Linked DNA regions of Arabidopsis thaliana. The protein of the gene in region 2 interacts with the protein of the main gene of each other region in a pairwise test. Each region holds a gene or a part of one and is shown on either strand. Other genes may lie near its edges. The genes, in order: RABG3d and SQS1.

Region 1 (4,159 bases), on a different chromosome or scaffold from region 2:
ATCCTAAGACAATACACCGCGATGTCAAGGCTGCAAATATTCTAATTGACGATAGCTATGAGGCGAAGGTATTCTTGAACTTGTAAAACTATATAAAAATGTTGTTTAGACTGCACTACTAATAATGCTGAACTTGGTTCATCAGTTAGCAGATTTTGGACTTGCCAGGTCTTCTTTAGACACTGATACTCATGTCTCCACTCGGATTATGGGAACCTTCGGGTACGAAACACTCTTTTCTATACGCAACCATAACCATAATAAGTTCATAACATACTAACAATCTTTTAAACTTCTTTCTTGTGATGCAGTTACTTGGCTCCTGAATATGCTTCTTCAGGGAAACTTACTGAGAAATCAGATGTCTTCTCAATTGGAGTGGTGCTTCTTGAACTGATAACCGGACGCCGTCCTGTTGATAAATCACAGCCTTTTGCTGATGATGATAGCATCGTTGATTGGGTTGGTTATCTTGTTTCCCTTACCACCACTTTTAATAAGCTTTTAAACTTTACCTCATGCTCTAGGCAAAACCTCTGATGATACAAGCGTTAAACGATGGAAACTTTGACGGTCTTGTTGACCCGCGGTTAGAGAATGATTTTGATATCAACGAAATGACGAGAATGGTTGCTTGCGCTGCTGCTAGTGTCCGTCATTCAGCTAAACGTCGCCCAAAAATGAGCCAGGTACTAACTATCACATCAAAACCTTTTGGCAACATTCAATCTAACACTAGGATAAAAAATGAAACTTTGTGAGTTCAATGGTGTCATTGTTCTTTGGACAATTGCAGATAGTTCGAGCATTCGAAGGAAATATATCTATAGATGACCTAACAGAAGGAGCTGCCCCAGGACAAAGTACTATTTACAGCTTAGACGGGAGCTCAGATTATAGCTCAACACAATACAAAGAAGACTTGAAGAAATTCAAGAAAATGGCGTTCGAAAGCAAAACATTTGGTAGCAGCGAATGCAGTGGTTTGACTAGCGACAATGGTCAGAACCCATCAGGCTCGTCTAGTATCACCGAAGGCCAACGTACAACGCAGGAGATCGAACCGGAGAAGAATACCAAGGACACATGAACTTTAAACAGAGGATTCTTGGTAATAGTTAAGTCTTATCATTTTGGGGTAGGACCCGTAGGTTTAGGTGTAAAACACATTATTCATTAGACGCGCTTTCACTTTTAATTATTTCCATGTGTGGCTCTAATCGAAACTGTCATGAGCCTGATATTGCACGTGAATATTATTTGTTGGAGATTTTTTTGAGTTTGGTGTGAAGATATTAAATTAGATTCAATCAAAGACTTTATGATTCTTAATTATTTTTTGGCCGTGATATATTATTTGAGTGGAAAGTTATTTTTAACATCTTTGATTCTTTTTTTAAAGCATGTTTTCTTTTGTTATCCATGCAACTTTGAAGAAATTGTTTTTTTTTTTGCAAATGAAATCCCATATATATATTAACCGATTTTAGATTCAGAGAAATAATATTTTTATAAGCATGGTGTTTGATTTTTGGTTGAAGGAGTAATTATTAGTATAGTTAGTACATAAGTCAATGGTAATTAACAAAACATTTGATAAAGTAAACATAATTAGACCGTTTGAAGATTTCTTCAAGTATAATTAATTAATTTTTTAAATTGTTTATAATAAGATTAGTTAATGACTAATTAAAGGAGGGGCAATTTTGGGAAAATAAAAGATTTTAAAATAGTAACTTTGCTGTTATTTAGCTAATACAGTATATACTTTTTCTGTAAATCACACGAAGAAGAAGAACCAAAAGAGAGAGATTGTGAAAGAAGAAAACAGAGACAGTTTCTTCGCTGAAAAGAAAAACCAAATCAGCTAAATCCCTAAAAGTTTCCGTCAATGTCTTCTCGCCGGAGAGTTCTTCTCAAGGTTATCATTCTCGGTGATAGCGGGTAAATTCTCTCATCTCTTCAGATTTCAGATTTGATGTGGTTTTATTTGTTCATTGAATGATGAGATTTTGATTCTTTTTTTATGGCCAGTGTTGGGAAGACTTCGTTGATGAATCAGTATGTTTCTGAAATCCAGATCTATGTGTCTCTTACTTAGAACATTGATAAATTCCTTATGAAATTTGATTTTGATTGATTCTATTTTGATAGGTTTGTGAATCGAAAGTTTAGTAATCAGTATAAAGCTACGATTGGAGCAGATTTTTTGACTAAAGAGGTTCAAATAGATGACAGAATCTTCACTTTACAGGTATTCTTTGAATCAATCAAACATTTTGATTCTTAGAATGTGATTGGATCTTAGGTTCCTACCTTTTTGGGTTTATAATGCAGAAAAAGTCAAAATCTTTCTTTGTTGAGGTTCAAATTTGTGTGCTTCTTAGGAAGATACAGTGTTTTTTTGGTTGTCTATAGAGATTTATAGAACTATTACTAATACAATCTCTTGGTACATTATATAGATTTGGGATACTGCTGGACAAGAAAGATTTCAAAGTTTGGGAGTTGCGTTTTACCGAGGAGCGGATTGTTGTGTTCTTGTCTATGATGTCAATGTTATGAAATCTTTTGATAATCTTAATAACTGGAGGGAAGAGTTCTTGATTCAGGTAACACTAATCCTCTTTGTTTTTTTCTTTCTTATAGAACTTTGTAGTTTGAGAATTGTATTGCTATAAACCAAATGCTTCTTTGTGGTGTCATTGTTTAGGCTAGTCCTTCAGATCCTGAAAACTTTCCATTTGTTGTGTTGGGGAACAAGACTGATGTTGATGGTGGAAAGAGCAGAGTGGTGAGACGTTATCTTCATTTCATGAAATACTTAAGTGTCTAGAGTTTGGTTATGCTAAAGTTATCCTATATTTGTCAGGTTTCTGAGAAAAAGGCAAAGGCATGGTGTGCATCTAAAGGAAACATTCCTTACTTTGAGACTTCCGCCAAAGAAGGATTCAATGTAGATGCGGCTTTCGAATGCATTACCAAAAATGCTTTCAAGAATGAACCTGAAGAAGAACCGTAAGTACAAACATATCTTACTGCTTTTTTTTTTTTTTTTGGCAAATTTGCATCACTTCAAGTCGTCGTAGTCTTATCTTCTGACCGTCTCTGATACCTCTCGTAGGTACCTTCCCGACACCATTGATGTTGCCGGAGGTCAGCAACAAAGATCAACAGGGTGTGAATGCTAATCAAGCAAAAGTTTGTTGCAGATACATTGTTTTGTTTGGCACATTTTGATTTTGTAACAATATATTTATAACTTCCAGAAATGTATTTTCAGATTCATTTTGAGTTACAGATTGTAATGAATTGGGTTCCTTTTTCTTTTGGACTCTATACTGATACCAAAATCCAACTTAATTTCGATTCTAGAAGGGGTTTGAATTTGAAGGATACATTGGACGGTTTTTGTGGGATCTTGTCTCTGAAAGCGATGAGAATTTGAAGATCGATCGTCTCTCAGCGTTTTTACCAATACAAAAAAAGTTAAATAATAAATACGGGTTAAGCGTATCTGATTGGGGCAATGTGTAAATATTATTAACTCTTAAACTAAATGTGTAAATAAAAATAGTTGACTTTGTCAAATATAGATAACACAACTGAGAAAATCAATTTCCTCTACCGGTAAGCAAATCATAAGAAAACTAGGAAGTGTCCCCAAAATCATAGCATACACTATATTTGTAGCTTATTATATATTCTTCAATAAAAAAAAAGTAGCTTATTATATATTGAGAAATGTTTAGATTTTTATGGACAAGAATCCAAATTAATATGACATAGCATGTTTACATATCAATTTTCTCATAAATATCAAAATAAAAATATATATCTAAAAAAAAGGTAGTAAATTTTAAAAATATAGATGTTTTTTATAATAAATAATTCATATATCTTGATGTATAATTTTTTTTTTCTGAATGTGTAGAAACTTATTTAGTAGTATGTATGTATATGGAAGAAACAACTTAAAGATAATATGTGTATTTTAATGTTAAAAAGTTACTATTATAACAAATGGATTAAAGTTGATATGTGAATTTGTAAGCCTTAATAAGTAATAACCATTGAAAGGAAACGTTACTTATTGGACTTTAATTGATTGACTCTAATAAAATTACTATATTAATTGTGCTTTGATGAGAGACTAAAA
Region 2 (6,262 bases):
ACTAACTTTTTCTATCATCAAGAATTAAAAAACCAAAAGACTTGGAGAAGAAGACTCATCAAATCAAAGGTAATATATGGATACTATAGTTATGAAGCACTAACCAACAGTATCAAGAGCTCGGAGAATCAAGTAGAACACACACACCTAATAAAAACAAAGAAAATGTTTGAAATATTGCTGTAACTAAAAATGTAACATAGCTATATATAGAAAAAAAAAAAAACATACGGCGTTACGAAGCTCGGTGCCAAGTTGTTGAATAACAAGAGAAAAGCTTTTAGAAACTTTGTGAAGAATTGAATAACAGAAAGCTAAGTGTGGCTCAAGTGGAATCTGCTTCTGAGCTTTCGTAATCGCAAGTTTCAACTTCAAGAGCGGATATAACTCATCCGGATGTCTCAAAATCGTACTCAAGCTTCCCATTTTTAGAAACAGAGGAGAAAAAACAGAACTCGTTTGAAACAATGGAGGATTTGTTGGGGAACAAAATGGTAGGCCATGTGCTATAATTCAACAAATATGGCCCTATTAATAAATCAATAGACCCCACGGCCTTTGCATACCTTGCACTTCCACAGAATCGCTATTAGCCTTGCTCTTAAGCTTGCCACGGTGATACATGTTACTGGTCCAACTATGTTCTATTTTTGCATTTAAATTGCTTGCCGCGTGCTACACACTTAACGTTAAAAAGATAAATCTAATCTTGATTCATGTTTTTGTTTTATATACTTTGAAGAGACTTTTTTGCCGACCTAAAAAGAAAGAAGAGATTTCAGTCTTCGATTGTCATTTTTCTTTCTTTCTTATTGCATTTGGATTTTATCTGGTTGTTGTTGGTAAAATTAATCTTAAAACATGCCAAAAGAGAACGAAAGAAGAAACGCAACTAAACAAAGAAAGAACTTTAAACACAAGGAATAAAAATAGATGAACAAATGCACGTTTAGATAACGAAGGTAGTAACTAAAATAGAATCCATGGTTTTAGACTAAACCATGCTTAAACTCTGTTTGTTCTGGAAACAATCTTGCTTAGGATTCAGTGGCGTGAATAAGAATCAACCTAGATTACTTCATCACTCAAATTTGCTCTGAACATCTTGAATGATGGTGATACAATCAGACTCGCTTACATGGATCACTCAGTTTGCTCTGAGATATGCAAAGACTATGGCCAGTAGAATCACAACCATTATAATCTGCATTTTCGGGTAGAATATATAGAATATAAGTTTTATGTATTTTTTTAAAAATGAGATACTTATATGGAAAAGGGAAACTATGTAACTTACAAAGACACTGTTTGGTTGTCCTTTGTCATTAACATAAGATTTTCTGAAAGGAAGAGACACAATGATTCAGCAGAAACCCAACCAGAAAGAAAGATTATGATAATATCATCCTATTCTAGAATACTTGGAAGATTAGTTATAGGTGCTTGTGACCAGTTTCTTAGTGAGAGGATTTAATGCAGCTTTTGGGATTAAATAAAAGACTGTACCTGTTTTGAAGAACTCCAGCGTCTCTGCAGAGTTTCTGAACGGCTTCAAGTCGGTTTAGTGTCTTACTGGCATTTGGATCGTTCTTGTCAACCTATGTCATATATGTCGATAGAAAATTCACATATGATTCTTTTCTTTAAACAGAAACTGAGTGAAAAACTAATCACAAACATGGAACTGATGACTACCTTTGTCTTCAGCATGCAGGAAAAATCATAGAAAGCACCATAGACATCAGCCATTGTCTTTGTACGATCAATGACTTTAGCAGTAAGACCTAAACAATAGATAGTTGTTCAGCGATATTAGCCTTCAGATAATAAGGCTAGCTACTACACGTTCTCAAGCTCGTTGATAATAAAAGATAACGGGTTTTCCTTTCTCATAAATAGAAATTAGGGATTGGCCTACATAATTTCTAAGGCTTAACATCTTACCTCGCCTCAGTTTCACAACGCCTCTGAATACTTGTTCATTGTTATAGCATAATGCAAGTGTTCCAATCGCCATGATCTAATCAAGAAAATACACCCAAGCAAAGCAATATTAACTTCTAAGGCATTCTATATTAGTGCAGACGTAGTTAAAGAGGAGAATACCTAATTCCATATGAAGAGGAAAACAATATAAACAGTTCTCAATGTGAAGTTTAAAGACTTAACAATTATGTGATATTTCGTTCTCTAACCTGAGGGATGGCACAGAACCGAAATATGGAAGGATCACGCAAGGAAACCATGTATTTCAGGCAATCTTCAATATGCATCAACGCATTGGTAACCATTTCATTTAAGCACTGTACGGATTTGTTTGTGTTCTCCTCGTATTTTAAATCCTACATTACAATTTACAAATCACCAAAAAGGCACTGTCAGAAAATAGTCAATATGGGTAACATCAGACCTAAGATGAGAGCTTGAGAGTGGTATGTATGCACCTCAAGCTTGTCAGCATATTTGCCCCAAATCTCGCGAGGCCAAAACATGCGGGATTTTGGTATCTCATTAATGTCCTCAAGATAATCTCTGATAATGTTTGTTTTCTGCAAATAAGACCAGTGTTATAAATCATTCAATGATAGAAATTGTCCGAAATTGCAAAAGATTTGAGGAAGAAGAAACATTGTACACCTCAAAATACATTGTTGTACCTGCAGAAATAAACCCATTGAATTGGAAATCGCCTCCCAATCTGGTGTCAAAACCTCTGATCCTGCAGCGAGGAAGAGTTTCGACAAACCTAAACCAACAAGCCCAGCAACATAGTGGCAGTATTCATCGTAGTCATCAACAGTTTCTACCTGTGTATAATAGTGAAAACTGGATCAACTGGATCGGTAAACAAATGATTTCATTTCTTTACAAAACTTATAAATAAGTTTTGGTACTTTCAATACAATTACTACTTGTCATATCATAGAAGCATCACATGAGGCATTCCAATATTTATGACTTATGAAAAGATTAAGCATGACAGAATTCTAACTGAAACAGAGACCTCAGTCCAGCTCAAGACATTTTGTCACCATAACTCAAAAACAAATCCAACTACGAAAACTGCTCTGTATCACAGACCTCTTGGCAGATAAACTTGGCCATCCCTGCACCCATTCTTCTAGTAATTTCCTCGATAGCCTCTTGATACCTTCATATACAAAAGCATATGTTAAAAATGAGGTAATTAGTATTGTCAGAAAGCAGATAAGAGTATCAACAAATTGAGTAACTCAATAAACGTGAGACAACATGAGCAGAAAAAATCTATAAAGTAGAACAGAAGTGCGTATAGCAAATATTAGAACTAACCCTTTTTCAAGTTCCAAAAAAGCTGCAGAAACATGGTGAAATTGGTCCATTAGAATCTTGTACTCCTTCGTACCACCTAAAGTTGAACAAGTAAAATTTGTCAGTTAGACAGTCAAAGATTAATGGAATGTGAAAGATGAAGATGTTAAGAGACTCTTCAGACTTGCATGAATAATGCCAATCAGTATCGTATATGTGCCGGTGAAAAGCTATCAGGATGGGAACCTTTTCATCAGTTGGTATGCTAGTATCATCCTCTGTCGTACAAAAAATAATATTAGCAGCAGAAGCACGAAGAAGAAAGATGGCTCTAACATAAAAGCATTTCAAAACAGAAATATAGCAGATTTTGGAGAAGCCTCATCGTATCAAGGTAATCTTGAAAGCAAAGTTAAGAGACACTAACCAACAGTATCAAGAGCTCGGAGAACCAAGTAGAACACACACACCTACAAAATGAAAAAAAAAAAAAAATTGAATAAGAAAATGCTGCAAGACTGAACACAGCTACACTGATAGCATGTGATCGAACACACACACCATTTTATATGTGGAAACATATCGAATCATAGTTCACTAAAATACAATCTGCATTTACTGCAGCTCAGAAGAAACTGCAGAATCAATTAATAAGAATCTGCATAACTCATATTGAACTAAGTGGAACACAAACTCTCAAAGCCATCGGATTCTACAGAAGAAACCAATCATCGCCGACGTCAACAATAAATGAGTGTCAGATATCTGGATTCCTCCAAAAATTGAAGACGTTGACCAACACAGAGGCCGAGAGCGAGAAGAACTTACGGCGTTACGGAGCTCGGTGTTGAGTTGCTGAATAACGAGAGAAAAGCTTCGAGAAACCTTGTGGAGCATCGAATAGCAGAAACCCCAGTGTGGCTCAGGAGGGATCTGCTTCTCCGCTTTCTCAATCGCTCGTTTCATCTTCAGGAGCGGATATATGTCATCCGGATATCTCAGCATCGTCCCCAAGCTCCCCATTGTTTCCAGAAAATTTTGATTCAGAAAATGGAGGATTCGTTGACGACGATCTGAGATTCAGAGACCACGAGGGATAAATTGCAGGAACCCTCACCTGCGATGTGGATCGACGCGATTCGGCCAGCGAATATCCTATTTTTTAGTTTTGTTTGTTAATTTATTCATCGATGAAAACAAAGGCTTCTGAATTTTTTTTCTTTCTTTTTTGCCAGTGAGCCAACTCACAAGGATTCACATTTTGTTTGTTTCTTCCTTTTTAATTAAAAACAAAATGTCAGAGCCAATGAAATTGAAAAAGAGCCACGAAACTTAAAGAATATCATCAAATGGAAATGGAGAGTACATTTATTCTTTTTAACTCCCTTTTTCTTATGTGTTAATTAGATTAAAAAAACAGAAAACAGAGAAAATGTGTTTAATATAATCAGAAATTAACAAAATTAGAAAGAAATGATCAAATTATAGATGTTGAAAGGAAAAAAAGGTATATTCTAAAAAAATGGAAGAAAAGGTATCTTTTTAGTTTTTATTATCATAAATGTACGACATCAAATTTACATGTCCACTTATTTATTTACTGGCAAACTTTCTGGCGACGCTGAGGTGGCAAAATAATCCTTACGTGGCAACATATAACTGGTTGTAAATACGTATCTTCAACAGTGTAACTACCAATTAGCACAAGATAACACTCGGTGGTTTGCCTCTATTAATAGGGTAACTTCCTCTGGTTATCAAAAACAAACAGTCTTGAAAAATCAAAGAAGCAACCTCTAAACAACACACAATTTCGAAAATGGCGCAGCGATCTAGGGTTATCACCATGTCTCCTCTCATTCTCGATCAAGAAGTTGATCTCGATCTCTGGGAAGTTGTTAATCCTTCTGATGGCGAGTTCTCCGACGATTCTTTCTCCGTCGATAGTCTTTCCGACGATGACGTCATATCTCTTGACGACGCTTCCTTTGTCGCACCCTCTGTCATTTCTCCGCCGCATGAGATAATTCCTATTGCTGACGGTGGTGATCTCGCCGTGGATCTGGATGGTGATGATGATGTTGGCGATGATGTCGTTCGCGATGAAGTTGATGAGAATGATCTTGGATGGTCTCAGCAGCGGATGATGTTTCTCGGTGGAGGTTCTGGTTATTCTGTTGGAATTACGTACGGAGATAGTGTTAATGACGACGGCGAAGAAGATCGCGAGTACGACGATTCGTATGATCTTGACGAAGAGTTGGTTCCGCGTAGCGTGAGTAAGAAGGTGGGGAGACAAAGGATGAGGAAACTGGGGAAAAGAGCAATCGCCAAGGTCTATGCCTCGAAGATATCTCCGTTTTTGAAGCCTGGTATCGTTCGTGGTAAGCATGGTCTCGGCATGAAATTCAAGTGCTGATTGTGTTGGGATTTCGAAGTTTCACAAGGCGATGGGATGGTTTCTTCAAGAACTCTCGGTAGAATTTCTCAGTTTCTGGGTTTAATTGATGTGTAAATTTGTTAGTTCAATTTCAATTCCTCTTTAGTAGTAAGTAATTCGGATGCTTCTGAAGATCTCATTGTACATGATGGAAATTAAATAACTCGCATTTTAGGATTCATTGTTCATTAACTGATCGCTTTCTTTGATGGCTCTTTAATTTGGTTGATCAGATTGTGATTGTGAATCTTGGGTTAGCAAATTGTAGTGTTGAAATGGAGAAGATGATGAATGGATCATAATAACTCTTGATAGATGAGCTCGTTTAATCTTGTGTGAACCTTAGAATTGAAAACGACAGCTAAACTGTAGCAATGATTTAACAGGAAGAAGGTTTGTGTTTGGTGGTGGTTAATTTGGTTATCTTTGTAGAAGCTTTTGCAATTTTTGTGAATGTTGGTGGTTGTTTGAAAAGTCATACTCGTAGGATGTACGCATCACTCTGAATTTCGACATCTGAGTGGTTGAGAC

What was found.
Region 1: the proteins of SQS1 (region 2) and RABG3d interact in a protein complementation assay, tested with the Arabidopsis thaliana proteins (one large-scale study listed by BioGRID).

What each region holds. Positions count from the first base shown.
Region 1 is NC_003070.9:19,467,182-19,471,340, reverse strand, and holds RABG3d (RAB GTPase homolog G3D), read left to right. Parts: upstream 1-1,754; 5' UTR 1,755-1,891; coding exon 1,892-1,944; intron 1,945-2,034; coding exon 2,035-2,061; intron 2,062-2,154; coding exon 2,155-2,254; intron 2,255-2,465; coding exon 2,466-2,612; intron 2,613-2,713; coding exon 2,714-2,794; intron 2,795-2,872; coding exon 2,873-3,018; intron 3,019-3,124; coding exon 3,125-3,191; 3' UTR 3,192-3,526; downstream 3,527-4,159. Other genes in the region: PERK15 (Protein kinase superfamily protein), read left to right, coding at 1-68, 146-222, 312-462, 528-689, 797-1,090. UniProt on the Arabidopsis thaliana protein: Intracellular vesicle trafficking and protein transport.
Region 2 is NC_003075.7:16,536,541-16,542,802, reverse strand, and holds SQS1 (squalene synthase 1), read right to left. Parts: upstream 4,615-6,262; 5' UTR 4,315-4,614; coding exon 4,120-4,314; intron 4,102-4,119; exon of another isoform or gene 3,883-4,101; coding exon of another isoform or gene 3,853-3,882; intron 3,762-3,852; coding exon 3,719-3,761; intron 3,570-3,718; coding exon 3,480-3,569; intron 3,389-3,479; coding exon 3,313-3,388; intron 3,152-3,312; coding exon 3,082-3,151; intron 2,808-3,081; coding exon 2,658-2,807; intron 2,550-2,657; coding exon 2,445-2,549; intron 2,343-2,444; coding exon 2,196-2,342; intron 2,021-2,195; coding exon 1,945-2,020; intron 1,785-1,944; coding exon 1,696-1,784; intron 1,599-1,695; coding exon 1,507-1,598; intron 1,341-1,506; coding exon 1,298-1,340; intron 1,205-1,297; coding exon 1,148-1,204; 3' UTR 779-1,147; downstream 1-778. Other genes in the region: SQS2 (squalene synthase 2), read right to left, coding at 105-147, 232-426; AT4G34630 (prostatic spermine-binding-like protein), read left to right, coding at 5,111-5,710.